Linked DNA regions of Lonchura striata. The protein of the gene in region 2 interacts with the protein of the main gene of each other region in a pairwise test. Links are inferred from orthologs where the notes say so. Each region holds a gene or a part of one and is shown on either strand. Other genes may lie near its edges.

Region 1 (6,948 bases), on a different chromosome or scaffold from region 2:
TGGAAGGGGATGGGGCTGCTGGCCAGGATCAGTCGGCGCTGCCCCAGCCCAGCTCTTCCCGGCAGTCCCCGGCTCCGTGAGGAGGCAGGAGAGGAGCAGCTTCCCACGGCCGCTCTCCTGGCTCCGTGCTGGCCGTGGCTCTGGGGTCTGGCTGAACTGCAGCTCCCAGTGGCCAGCAGCCTCCAGCCACGGCCTCGGGGACAGCCTGTTCCACGGCGTGGCTCCGGGGCTTTCTCCCTTTCCCACGGCAAGGCACACGGGACACGGCGTCCCGGGGAACTCGGTGCAGTTTCCTTCCTTGCAGGGTCTGTAGGGAAAAGCGGCGAGAGCGGAGGCTGCGCTCCACGGCCGCGCTCCCGAGCATCCCATCCCAGGGTGGGCAGGTCTCCGGAGCCTCCAGAGGGGAATGTGTAGAGCTCAGAACCAGGCAGGAGGCAGCTGCCTGCCCGCAGCCAGCACCTTTGCAGGCACAAGGGACTGAGGGATGTCCCCCTGCCAGCCGGGCCAGCCCGGCACTACACGTATTGCTTTTTGGAGGCTGAGCTCCCGGGCCGGCTGCCCGGCTTCTCCTCCGGGGCGGAGGCTTCAGCAGGCCCGGGGGCGTAGGGGTCCGACAGGGGCCTGCTGCCGCTGCCCAGTGCCAGGTTCTCCTCGTTGCGGTAGTTGGCCCAGTTCTGCTCACTGGAGAGCTTGTTGTAGGTCTGGTAGGAGGGCGCGTGGCTCTCGGCCATGGGCAGGAAGGGATAGTGCTTGGGTGAGTAGGGACTCGAGACCATGGCATCCACAAAGGTGTCCTGGCTCGGTCCAGCTGGCCCCGACACCTTCTTGATGTTGCTGAGCAGGTTCTTGCAGCAGAGGTGGAAGAGCTCCAGGAGGTTCAGGATTAAGGAGATCAGGCCCATCACCAGCATGAAGATGATGAAGATGCTCTTTTCGGTGGGGCGGGAAATGAAGCAATCCACCTGATGGGGGCACGGGTCCCTCTTGCACACGTAGCGGGGCACCATGGAGAAGCCATACAGGTACCACTGGCCCACGAGGAAACCGGCCTCAAAGATGCTCTTGCAGATGACACTGGTGATGTACGTCCACATCAGCGCCCCCCGGATCTTCAGCCGCCCACTCTCTGTCATGTAGATCTTGGACATCTTCTTCTCCAGGTCTGCCAGGGCCTCCTCAATCTTCGGGTCCTTGCTGTGGACAGCCCGAAGCTTGCTCTCCTTCTCCTTCAGCTTCTCCTCCTTGCGGGAGAGATAGACAACGTGGCCCAGGTAAATCAGGGTCGGGGTGCTGACAAAGAGGAACTGGAGCACCCAGTAGCGGATGTGGGAAATGGGGAAGGCTTTGTCATAGCAGACGTTGGTGCAGCCTGGCTGCTTGGTGTTACACACGAAATCCGACTGCTCGTCCCCCCACACAGACTCGCCGGCCAGGCCCAGGATGAGGATGCGGAAGATGAAGAGCACGGTGAGCCAGATCTTCCCGATCACCGTCGAATGCTCCTGGACTTGGTCCAGCAGTTTCTGCAGGAATTCCCAGTCACCCATCTTCTAGGAAGCCTTTGCCTCTGCCAGCAGAGAGAAGACACGTCAGTTCCCTGTTTCCATGCTGGGGAGCACAGGGCAGATGTGACCACTTAAACTCCGTGCTTTTTCAGGATATAGCTGCTCTGCAGACTGGCCCAGCAAACCCTCTGAGGAACATCCCACTTCTGAGGGAGGGAGGGTTCCAGGCAGCGTTTAGGAGCCCCAGAGGGCTCCTCCTACACAGTGCAGGAACCGAGGGCTGGGAGAGACAGGGATTCTCCCCTCCCAGCAGCACCCACAGCTCGTGGCTCTCCTGGCCACTCCAAGGACAGCCTGAAGCCAGTGGGGTTTTGGGAGCTCAGGGCGAGGAGGCACTATGGGAGCTCACAAATTTGCTGCTGCCCTGGCTTTCCCAAAAAGCAGAGAGCAGGATGGTCTAGAGGGAAAGCACAACCCCTTGGGGTACATCTGCCGCCCCAAAGCCGATTCAGGGCTCACCCCAAACTGAACGGACAACACCTCACCGGCTCCCTTGCTGCGGGGCGATGGACACCCAGCCCCAGTCCCTCCCATCGCCAGGAGATCCCGAGCACCGCTCACCACCCTGCTGCCTCTCCCGGGATCCTGGGGAGCCGAGCCCGCACCCCGCGGGCGCTCAGCCCGGCTGCGAGGAGGGACGGGGCGGCCACAGCCCCGGCTCCTCATTAACCGCTGCTAATTAAGCAGAGAAGTGCCGGCTGTGCGGTTAAAGGAACCCCCGGCAGCGGGGTGCCCCGTCCCCAGCCCGGTGCCCGCTCTCACCTCCGCCGCGCCGGGCACGTCCCGCCGGGCTCGGGCCGCGCTGAGTGCGAGGGGTCGGACCGGGTGGCTCCGGTTATTGGGGGCCCGGGGAAGCCGGAGGAGGAGCGTGGGCAGGAAACTGGGGGCTGGGGCTTAGTACCGGCCGGGCCGAGCCGCAGGTGTGCGGGGCCGCCCCCTCCCGTGGCCCCCGGACGAGGGGGCGGCCCCGGCGGGCGGAGCGGGGGCGGCCAGACCCGTCGGGGCCGAAGCTGGGGGGCAACGGTGTGGAGCCCGGCTGCCTCCCGCACTTTCATCTGCGGGTCCGCCACTGGGCAAACCCGCTGAGCCAGAGACCCCGGGATGCTCCGTCCCCTGACCCGTGTCCGGGAGATGTTTAATTCCCTGCCCGGCGGGGCGTTTCGGGGACGCTCTGTTCCCCGCCCGGTGTCCCGGGGATGTTCCGTCCTTTTCCGCCCCGGCCGGACCGCGGCTGCGGCGCTCGTGGTTTGCCCCCGAGGGTCCGTGCGGCGCGGCGGGCGCTGGGTGGTGCTGGAGCCCCACCGGAGCCGGCTGCGGTCCCGCATCCCTCCGGTTCTGGATGAGCCCCACCGTGCCTGGCCCCCATCCCGCGTCCCGCCGGTTCCCGGGACGGGCCCTGCCGGTTCCTGGGATGAGCCCCACCGTGCCTGGCCCCCATCCCGCGTCCCGCAGGCTCCCGGGCTGAGCCCCACCGGAGCCCAGTTGCGATCCCGCGTCCCGTCGGTTCTCGGGATGAGCCCCACCGGAGCCCGGCCGGGAACTCCCACGCAGGTTCCAGGCAGAGCTTTGCTGTCGGGGGTCTCAGCACGCCCCAACACGCTCGTGGGGCTCGGAAACACGGGCGGGCTGAGCAGAGCTGGGAACAGCGGACCCTCCGCTAGTGCTGCTTAAGGAGAGATTAAATGGAAATCATTTCTATTTATTGTAATATTTATCAAGGTTTAGTAAATAATTGATGCTCATCCCTCCTTGATTTCCTTGGGGGCCAGCGTGAGGTTCTGCTGAATTAAAGTTTAACGACGCGTGACAGGCTGGGAGAGGCGGAACGGGCGGACGTGAGCTCGGCTGTGGGCTCAAGCAATGCCCAGCTCAGGCGGATGAGAAGGGCCTGGCTGTGGGCTCCTGAGGAACCTCTGCAAATCCACGTCTTCTGCCCTCACCAGGCCCCCAGTTTCCAGCGTGCAGAGCAGATCTTGGTGTCTCCAAACACGACATTTATTGGCCCTTTGGATCCGTGTGTGATGTGCATCTGAGGTGAGGGGGGACACAGAGGCACCAAGGGAAGCAGCAGAGCCAGCAAGGGCTTTTGGGCAGAACATGGCTTGGTGCTTGTGTGAGCCAAGGGGGAGAAATGGCAAACCGGGCAAACTGGGCCAGCAGAACAATTGCTAACAGACTGGAGCCCTGGTCCTTTGTCATTACTTTGGGTGCATGAAGAGAGCCCTGGCCACGGAGCCCAGAATTCCTTTGGTTTCTTGGCACGTAAGAAAGCAGCGCATGTGTGAGGAGCAGTGAGCTGGGAGGACTGGCATGACACCAGCCCTTGGCTGGGCACCAGCTGGGTGCACTCACACCCAGCATGGGAGCAGAGGAGCTGCAGGACCCAAGAGAAGCTGCGGGACACTGAGGGTCTGTGTGCTGCTGTGATGTCCATGTTTGTGGCACTGCCACCTGCAGAGCTCCAGAGCTGTCCTTGCCTTACCTGTGTCTGCTCAGGCACCCATGGGTCTCTCTCCGGGGACATTACTTCACTGGGTTTAGTCATTTTTCACATGGGTTGACTCTTGAGGGTTTGAGGATTTGGCAGGCTGGAAAAGCCAAGTTGAGGGGAATGTGAACCGGCTGGGACGGGTGTGCTCACAGCTCTTCTCCTCTGTGGGAAGAACGGACACACTCAGGCATGGCCATGGACAGCCAGCACCCACCTGCCACCGAGCGTGTCCACACCCCTGGGACAGCCAGGGATGTGCCCGTGATCCCAAGCAGGAGAGTTCCCAGGGATGTGTCCCCCTCCCCTTACAGCCACTGAGGTCCTGGCTGAAGAGTCTGGTGGTCACCCGTGGTTCCAACCATCCCTGGCACATACCAGGACACTTTCCCCCACCACTCTTCCCAGCACCCTTCAGACAGCAGTTAGGGCTGCCACACACCTGGGCTGGGACTTGTTGTCCTTCTCCTCTGACTTCATGTGACAGTGGCAGGTGGAGGCCTTGCTGTAGCTGACGGAGCGCTTGGTGGATTTCCTCCATTTCCTTGCCCTCTGGACAGCTCGCTTGAAGATGAGGTAGAAGATCTCACAGACGGTGAGGACAATGCAGATGGAGGAGGCTCCAACCATGAAATAGGTGAAGACCCTTTTCTCGGTTGGCCGGGCGATGTAGCAGTCCACGGTGTTGGGACAGGGATCCACGTTGGCGCACTTGACCAGCCGTGGCAAATCGAAGCTGTCCCACATCTTGTGGAGGAGGTAGAGGAACAGGATCTCTATGATAAGCTTGAAGATGAGGCTGAACAGGTAGGTCCACCACAGCCCGCCGTGCTTCTTGCCCGTGTTGCTGTAGAGCTTGGGGCAATTCTCTCCATTCTTCTCCCGGTTCTTCCTCTCGCGGTCCTCCCTGTAGGCCACGTGCATGATGACCAGGAGGGAAGGACAAGTGACAAAGATGAGCTGCAGGGCCCAGAGGCGGATGTGGGAGATGGGGAAGAAGTGGTCATAACACACGTTGGTGCAGCCCGGCTGCCGCGTGTTGCAATCGAAATCCTTCTGCTCGTCGCCCCAGACCTTCTCGGCTGCCACCACATAAACCAGCACACGGAAGACAAAGACCATGGAGAGCCAGATGCGGCTGAAGGCTGTGGAGTACTTGTTGACCCCGCTGAGCAGCGCCTGCAGCGTTTTCCAATCCATGGCAGCTGAGGGAGACCAGAGTCACCCAACCTGGAGAGGCAGAAGGAGCAGTGGGAGACACCACTGGGCTGCACATCTCTCGCTGACACTCAACCCTCTCCCCCACCACATTACACTCATGTAGGACGGGGGCTCTTCACCCTTGCAGACAGTAAAGCCCATCCTCCCACACTCCTGGTGGCAGAGGTGACTCAGTCTATCTGCACTTCCTTCTGACGGAGCCTTTGCTGTCAGGGATGAGCCACCTGGCCAAGTCCCTGCCACCAGCTCTGTGCCTGATTCTTTTTTTTGTGTGTGCTGGTGCAAACTGGCAGCACTTTCTGCAGGAGCAGGCCAGGATCATCAGCCAAAGGGGAAATGGCTGCTCCTCTCCCAGCTGGGGTGCCAGGGACCTGTTTTGTGTCTCCCAGGTGATACCTGAGGCAGCCCAAACACAGGTGACAGCGGGGCTACAGAAAGTGAGAGTCTGTGTGTGTCACAGTGTGCGTGTGTCACAGTCTGCGTGTGTCACCAGCATGTCACCCTGGCCAGCGCTCTGCTCCTGCTCCGGCAGCAACGCCGGAGGACCCGACGGCCAAACCGGCTCTGCAGCTCAGCCTGGGGCTGCCCTGTGTGAGGAGACACGCCAAGCCTGACCGGGAGCTTTACTACACCTGGATTTACAAACCCAGGTGGTTTTTACAACCCTCTGGGCTGTGAAGGTGCCTGCCCTGCAAAGGGATTCCCAGAACACTGGGTTGCTCTCACTTTTAAGGAATTTGCGCTGCCTGTTGCCCACCCGGTGCCTTCTGAGACGTACCTGGAGGAGGCTCAGGCTCCTTCCCCGCTCACCGGGGGCTGTGGGGTGGGAAGTGTCCAGCACGGGGCATAGCCAGGGTGCGATGGCGGGCTGGTGATCAGAGTCCTCTCATCCGGTGCACTGTGGTGTCCCAGGGCTGTGGGGACGGAACAGAACCTGGAGCACTGCCCAGAGCCCATGGAGCACTCTGGGAGCCTGTCCTTGCCCACGGCCACCCGCAGCAAGCCACGAACCTGTGGCTGTGCTCCCACACTTCTGTCCCAGGGACACACTGGGAAGGGTGGCTGGGCTGAGTGGCTCCAGGCTGGGGTCCCTGGCAGCGTGTGCCAAGTGCCAGGGCTGTGCCTCTGCCCATGGCCACACACCTTCTCTCACTGCCCCGTCTAAAAGCAGATCTTCCTCCCTGGCAAATCCTTGGCGGGGGTCAGGGTGGGGAGCAATCACTGTGTTCCCACCCAACCCTTGGATTTAAAACTGGGAGAGGGGAACTACTGGTTTGCCCATAAAAGCTGGCGTGGATGGAACCTCCATGCCCCCAGAGCCTGTGCCCCCTCACCAGCCTGCCAATTCACCCATGACCCCATCCCTGCTGCCAGTGAGACCAACCCAGCACCCAGCTGCCCAAAACCCACCTGCCCAGCACCCGTGTGCCCGGTTCAGCCCAGCGCCGGCTCCGGTCATGGACCCGCAGCGGAGCAGGAAGGAGCTGTGCTCTCCGTGCCAAGCTCCGTGCCAGTCCCCGTGGCACACAGCGTGAGCCCCCGGGGCTCCCCAGTGCCGGGTGGCAGCCGGGCAGAGCAGGAGCAGTGCTCAGGTGTGCTCAGCTGTGTCGGCAGTGCTGGTTTGCCTCCCACAGAGCCCGGCACCCTTGCCAGCCCCCGGGATGCCAACCCACT
Region 2 (7,191 bases):
CTGTTTGCCCCAGCAGAGATAGCAGGGTGACATTGTCGAGTGATAATGATAGTTCCATTTCAGGCCAGCACTTGCACAGCTCTGGCTCCAAACCCCTGGATTTGCCTCATGTGGAAAATTTTTAAGAGTAATAATATTTATAAGAATGATATAATTATTTTAAAACTATTTCCAAAGAAACCAAGCATGAGATGTTAGCATGCAGCACACTTGATCTGAAGTCACTGTTGCTTTCACTGGGGTGAAAGGTGAGTAGGACAGTTTCAAACATCTAAGCACCTACCTCCCAACTCCTAGTATTTTCAAGACAAACTAGATACCAATATTATTCAAAAATGTTAATTTTTAGTAGCCTCAATTTCCCTCGCAATTAATTTGAAGATCAATGTTTTGTCCTTCCTGAGCAGGCATGGGAAAGGCAAATGAAGGGGAGTTCTATATGGTGACAAATTCAATCCAGTGAAACTTTGGCCTCTTACATGTAGTTGGATGAAAGGAGGCACGAATGTGGACATATAGGGTCACCATTTCATAGGCTCATATTCTAATTTGAAACACTTTCAAGCTAGTATAGCTTGCAGCAGGAAATGCAATCACTAAGTCCTGTATTGCTGACCAGATACACGACAGGTGCAGAGAAACACAGAAAGAGAATGTATTTTTATGTTGCTTGAGCCACAGATCCTATTCAGCCATTAGCATGTAAATTCCTTGTCATCCTAACTGCTAAACAGCTGTGTGGTGTTAATTGGGAACAAATTCTGTCACACCAAAAGCTGTTCTTGCAAAGGAGATGTGGGGTTTGCCATAACAATCCTGATGGTTTGGACAAGCCACTTAATTTTTGTTTTCCTCTGTAAAATGAAAATATATTTTTGCTTTCTGCTATTGCTTCTGGCTTTTGTTTGTAAGCTGTCATCTCAGAGAAAAAGGCTTTCTTTAGATAGGAATCTAAATACAAGTACCTCATTAGATTTGGCTTTGTGGTGCAAGTGTAATTCAATTAATTACTGTAAGAAATATGAACCTAGTAAGGGTTATGCCCAGGATAATAAATACATAATTCCAGGGGCAAGGTGGAGCATATTTCTCTGCTGACAGCTATCCTGTCTCTGTTACACTGTGCATCTGCTTTTCCTCCCAGAGGAATGCATTCAACACTGCTACAGTGATTGCAGTCATGCCCCCACTCAGAAGCCTTTCTGCAGATGTATCCTCACACAGACAGCTTGAGTTTCAGACTGACCAAAACCACAAGACAGAAGAGAATCTCCCCAGCTCTGTGTATGTAGCCTTTAAAGCATAGTTAAACCTACAAGGCTTCTGAACTGCTCTAGACTGAACCACTGATGGATATCACTTGTGTTCCCACTGGGTCTACCAGATGCACAGGCTGTGCAGTGACATCCCTAACACGTGCCGCATCCTCCATGCTGCTGCAATACCCCACCGTGACCGCGACCCTCAGCCCCAGCTTTCTACAGCTGGCACAGCTTGCGCTGCACACACACGCCACAAAGCCGCCCGCTGCCGCTGGTGCACCAGGGATGCCAAGAGACAGCCCCGGTTCCTGCGGGCCCGACTTCTCGGGGAACGCAGAGCTTAAAGGCAGAACGGACGCTCCGGACGAGGAGGAGAAATGGAAGTGCTGGGGCTGCCTCCATAGGAACGGAGAGCGCCCCTGGGCTACCCCTATCTCCTCCCTTAAAAGCGCCCGCTGAGCTCTCCAGGGCTCAAGGGATGCTTGGTTTGGAAACGACGAGCAGCCGCGAAGGGAGAGGAGCTCAGTCGGGCCCGTCCTGTCGCGCCCCCGGCCCGTCGCTCCCGGGAGGTGGCAGTGTTCCCCCACGGATGCCACCTGCCGGCTCCGCGGCCAGGCCGGCAAGGGAGCCTCTGTTCATCTCTCTCACTCGTTTTCCGCTCATTTACGGGCAATGGATTTATCGCGCGTGATCTGATTTGTAAGAGCCCCACTGGGGCTTTTTCTCTTGCGGGCGAGAAAGTTGCGAAGTGCCGCAGCACAGCCGGAACGCCGGGATTACAGAAAGCGGTCGCATCACTGCATGCGTATTTATACACGTGTATACGCATGTATGTCTATACACATATATAAATGTATTTCAATATACACATATAGATCTAGATATGAGGCAGAGGATCTCCAAACACGGCCACAGGAAGCGTTTAACCACAGTGCCATTTACATTTTGTTCGTGCATTTGGGAGAGGTGGGTGGAAAGACAGGTGGATGCGTGCCGGCTATCCGTGTACCACCCCGTACCCGTACACGCTCACAGGCAGTGGCCACAGTCTCTTTAAATCCTCGCTCCTTAGGGCACAGGTACGGGATTTAGGCCCCGTTGGCCAGAGCCACTCGCAGAGGTGGGCAGCTGGGGTCGGAGGGTCTTTAGAACATTCTCGGACGCGCAGCGGCTTCTGACGGACCGGCCGGCCCTCACTGCTCCACCTCAAGTTTCTCTTCCCTCGTCACCCGCTCCGGCTCTTTATCAAAAGCCTCCTTCCCCTTCCCGCGGGGACCGGCGCCCGTCCGCACCCCTCAGCGCGCTGCCCGGCGGAGGGGGACCGCAGCATCCCCGCCGGGACACCGTCCCGCATCCCGGCTCCGGGCGGCGGGGTTCCGCCCCGACGGCAGCGGCCGTGGGCAGCGGGGCGGGGCAGGCAGGCACTCACCTGACGATGACATACATGACCAAGAAGTTGCCGAAGAGCCCCACGACGCAGACCACGGAGTAGAGGGCCATGATGGCGATGGCGGTAACCACGGAGGGGCCGCCGCCCGTGGGCGCGCAGGGCCCGCCGCCGCCGGCGCTGCCATTGCCGCCGCCGCAGGGCTCGGAGCGGTTCCAGCCCAGCGCCGCCGAGGCGTTGCCCCAGGCCGGGCAGGGCGGCCCGGGCGGGCGGCAGGCGGAGGCGTTGGCGGCGAACGGGACCTCCAGGGCGCCGGCCAGGAGCGGCGCGGACCCGTTGCCCAGCAGGTAGGCGACAGCCATGGCGCAGCGCTGTCAGCGCGGCCGCCCGCTCCCCACGCCCGAGGGACGCCCGGCGCGCCGCGCTGCTGCCGCGGTGTCGGCGAGGCGACAGCACCCGCCCGCCCCGACGGTGCGCCCCGCCGCTGGGTGCGGGCACATGTGTGAGGCGGGCGGGGCGGGCCGGGAGGAGGGGCCGTGTCCGCAGGAGCGGCGGGAGCCGCCTCCGCGCCCGCTGCCCGCCGCCGCTCCTCCCAGGCCGGCGGGACGCGGTGGCGGCCGCCCCCAGCGGCGAGCGGGGCGCACCTGCGGGGGGCAGCGCCGGCGGTGTGCGCCTCCCCTGCAGGTGGCACTTGAAGGCAAGGCGCTTAACATGTTCGTTCCCCAGAGCCGCGGGCATCGGTGGCAAGCGCCGGAAAGACAAAACCGGCGGAGACTGACTTGGCGAGATAAAGGCCGGTGCAGAGAGGAGATCGATGCGCGAGAGATTATCGTAGTAAGACAGGGATCTTGGCAAAACGATGTCCTCAGTGATTATAGAGATAACAGAACCTTGTAATAAAATGTGACGAACTTTAGGGCAACACTTTCGGAGGGGTGGTTGTGAACAGAATTGTCCTTTAGAAATGACTCGGATCTCATGGATCCTCAGGATTTTCAGAGGACCTTCTGTTCAGAGCTCCAAGGATGTTCTCCCCTGGTTGGTGTGATTGTTATCGGATGTGATATCACAAATAAGAACGACATCAAAACCGTTCTTAAGCTGTGCACTCAATGTTACTGGGTGCTTAGTTCGCACACCGCTTGTTTTCACCGGTACCTTTTCGTGTTCAGTTGTTTCAAATGCGTGCAGAGGCGCGGGACTGCCTGATGGCTGATTATTAGGACTTAGCTCATTTACTGTCTCACTAATGAAATCAGAAGAGCTCCCTGGCAAGGCAGAAAAAATATCTCCTGGTGAACAGGAAGGTGACAGAGTAGCAGTGATTGCTCCCACTGCCTCATTGTGGATGCGCACTTATTCTGCTCACCCTGCGCGGAGCACCTCCCGCTATTTCAAGAGTGATAATGACAAAAGTAGAGAAGAAACAAGTTGCAGCCTAAGAGAAAGATCCTGGACATTTTAGTATAAGTATGTGCTTGTGCCACAAGCAGGGGGAACCAGTGCTGCTCAGGGCAGGTAACAGTAGCGGAATTGACCACACACTCTTTCGATGTCTATCTGATAATTTGTGGGGAGGAAGAAGAGGGAATGGGAAAGGGGCATCACTGGACTTCGAGAGGGATATAGATCTGGAGAATTTGTATTCCTTTTTTCATTCTAAAGTGAAAATGGAAGGAGAAGGACAAGTAAGCTATTAATGGGCACTTTCAGTAGATAGCATGTATTGCTTCATGGCCAGAGAGAGTATTTTCATCATCGTTCATTGAGTAGGAGAGAGCCCATTTAGCATTGCATTTAGGAGGAGCTTTAGAATAGGAGATATTTTTGTCTCTGGAAATAGCTATGGACAAATGAAAGCAAGAACTCAGAGATTTTACGTGGTCAAAGACACTGCTTCTTTATCCCCTGCATGTATAGTCATACACAGAGCAGGAGGAACAAGGCTTTAAAACTGGGCTTTTCTCAGAGACTTTAATCTCTGGGTATGTGCACAGAGTGTGGGAGCCTCTCTCTGTGCTTGCCCTTTGTTGCACCAAAGCCATCAGAAGAGTTTAAGGTAAGCCACAAGTACACAATTAGTATTTAGCCCTTTGAATACAACTGTGTCTGGCTGTGGAAGGGATGGGGAAGTTGGGGAGCAAAAATCAAGGCTGCCAGGAGATCCATTCTGTATCTTGTGTCATAGCCAGGTTTGTATCATCCTCACTATCAGAAGGCCCTTTTGTGCATTAAAAATGACTTAAAAATTACATTAAAATGTCATTTAAAAAACCCTTAAAAACAGATGCTGAGGTAAATTGAGCTATAATACACATCTTTATGACTGCTCACAGAAAAGTGATTGCACAAAAAAAAGTATTATGCTTAAATAAATCAAACTTTTGGCAGGTGCAGATGAAAACTTAGGATGAGGAGAGGGCTGGCAAAAAGCCCTGGGAGTTGAGCCTGTTTATGACAGGCCTCATTAAACAAACTTTCAAGGTAGGGGAGTGATAGTTGAATGCACCTCTTTGGAAAGTTATTACAAGTCTTATTTCAAAGGACATAGGCAATGTGAAATAAGTGCTTAGAATAATGCTTTCAGATGGTAAAGGTCATTTTGGCTGTAATAATGTGCGAGACCCTTTCTTCAAATAATTTCAGATAGTATAGTACTGTGTAGCCAAGATTCTGGTGAAAGGGTGTTTGTGAAATTGAAGACCAGTAATTACTTCTTGTTGGTAGTAGTTCAGCTTTTTCCTTCTTCATAGAAATGAAGCAGTCTTAGTCATTTGCATTATTTCTTTATTCACAGATCACCCGTGTTGCCTTTCTAGATTGTGACAGTGACTCTGCAGATAAGGGCAATCTGCAGAGTGGCAAATACTATATCCATTAGTTGAAAATAAGTACTTTAAATTTCATAATCTCTGAGTTCTTCTGCCATTGTAGAAAATAAAATGTCACTTCTAAATTTAATAAATGTAGCTATAAGTGATAGTTTTTGTGTTTGCATAACAAGTCTGAAGGGTGTCAGTTGGACCACATTGATGGTTGGACTAGATGATCTTTAAGGTCTCTTCCAACCTGGACGATAGTCTTCAATTTCCTTATCTGGCAAGGCTACAAAGCAGATTCATGACATTTTGTTAAGGACTGTAGTTATTAGCTGTCCTTGATAGTTAGCTATATTCTTAACTATCCTTGACAAACTAATAATTTTACTTTTGCTGAGTTGGAGCTACATATTGAATGAGAAGAGTGTAAGATGTTCCAAAAAATGACCACTGTAGTTAATGACATAAGGGTTTAGAGGAAGTTAATGTGTGATGTAATTTAATACAATAGTAAGTGGAACAGTTCAGTTCATACAATCTTACAATTTTCTAGCTCTTAGGTATTTGGCAAGTTCAATTCCTGGTCATTGGTTAGGCTTTCCAAATCCAGTAGGTCAACAGAGGAGAGATTGCTGCAGCTCTGTGCCCTTAGGTCCAGCTAATAGCTAGACTGGGTTTGTATTCCCAATAGTCAGGTCTATAGAACCCACACATAAACATATACACACATCTGGCCCCACAGACCAGCACAGACACAAATAGCACTAAGAGAAACACAAATTGCACCAACAGCTTCACCCTGCTCCCTCTCCGGCTGTTCAGGGTGAAAATCTCCTAGTGGGAATATATGTGTGTACATGTACACCATAAGGCTCTCCCAGTGAGGATCTGGATCAGACAGTTTGCCCAGTAGCTGCTCCCTGCATCCCAGCTGTTTGCACATGGACACAGGGGCCCTGAGGCTGCAGCCTTAGTGTACCCAGTGGCTGGCCTGTATCCCTCCCTTTTCCTGCCTGTATCTCTTCCTCCCTTAAGCATCTTGTGACACGTTTTTGTGCAATCCGAAGATACTCTTCTCCTGAATCCCATATTGTGTCCCATATCCCTAGCAGTGACACCCCACAGTCTGGGAAGTGCTCCAGGAAACTACTCCCCTGTGGTGTTGGTTATAGTGCTTGGCCCATGGGGCTGAAGCTCCCCTGTGACAGCCTGGGGACAGTCTAGGGAGAGATCTCATTTCTCTGATGACATTATTGGTGTTCTCCTACCCGCCCTTGTGTCCTGGGGCTCCTTCCTGTGTGAGGAGATGGGTCTTTTTTTGGGATGGTGGTTCCTCTGGTGGCTTCTGGAGTAGCCATGGCAGAGAATTATTTAGGTTCCCCCACCTAGTGCTGTCTCTGTCTCTCCCTGCACGTGTGCAGATACAGATCACATAATTTAAGAGTAATCTCTGTCAATCTCACTCTAAATACTGATTTCTCTAATATGCCAGAAAGGCAGCGTTAGGCATACACAAAGGATGCTCCTGTTGGAGAAATACTGTCCACAGAGACTGACTACTCTGCCCAATCACAGATGGTAATGTAGGGAAAAATATTTATGTGGCCATAAAACAGCTTTTGCTGATGGAAGGAGATTCAAATAGATAATTTAAATACAGTTATATACTTCTAGGAAATCCTCAGAATGCACTAATAAAATATTTGTTATGGGCCTCACAGGT

Evidence for each region.
Region 1: the proteins of OPRM1 (region 2) and GJA4 interact in binary tests that used the Homo sapiens proteins (3 or more experiments, as listed by UniProt). The link is inferred for Lonchura striata from reciprocal best matches to the Homo sapiens genes OPRM1 and GJA4.

The regions. Positions count from the first base shown.
Region 1 is NC_134628.1:3,686,613-3,693,560, reverse strand, and holds GJA4 (gap junction alpha-4 protein), read right to left. Parts: upstream 2,355-6,948; 5' UTR 2,328-2,354; intron 1,568-2,327; 5' UTR 1,548-1,567; coding exon 516-1,547; downstream 1-515. Other genes in the region: GJB3 (gap junction beta-3 protein), read right to left, coding at 4,468-5,253. UniProt on the Homo sapiens protein: One gap junction consists of a cluster of closely packed pairs of transmembrane channels, the connexons, through which materials of low MW diffuse from one cell to a neighboring cell.
Region 2 is NC_134605.1:55,700,993-55,708,183, forward strand, and holds the start of OPRM1 (mu-type opioid receptor), read right to left. Parts: upstream 3,012-7,191; coding exon 2,692-3,011; intron 2,342-2,691; exon of another isoform or gene 2,306-2,341; intron 1-2,305. UniProt on the Homo sapiens protein: Receptor for endogenous opioids such as beta-endorphin and endomorphin. Receptor for natural and synthetic opioids including morphine, heroin, DAMGO, fentanyl, etorphine, buprenorphin and methadone.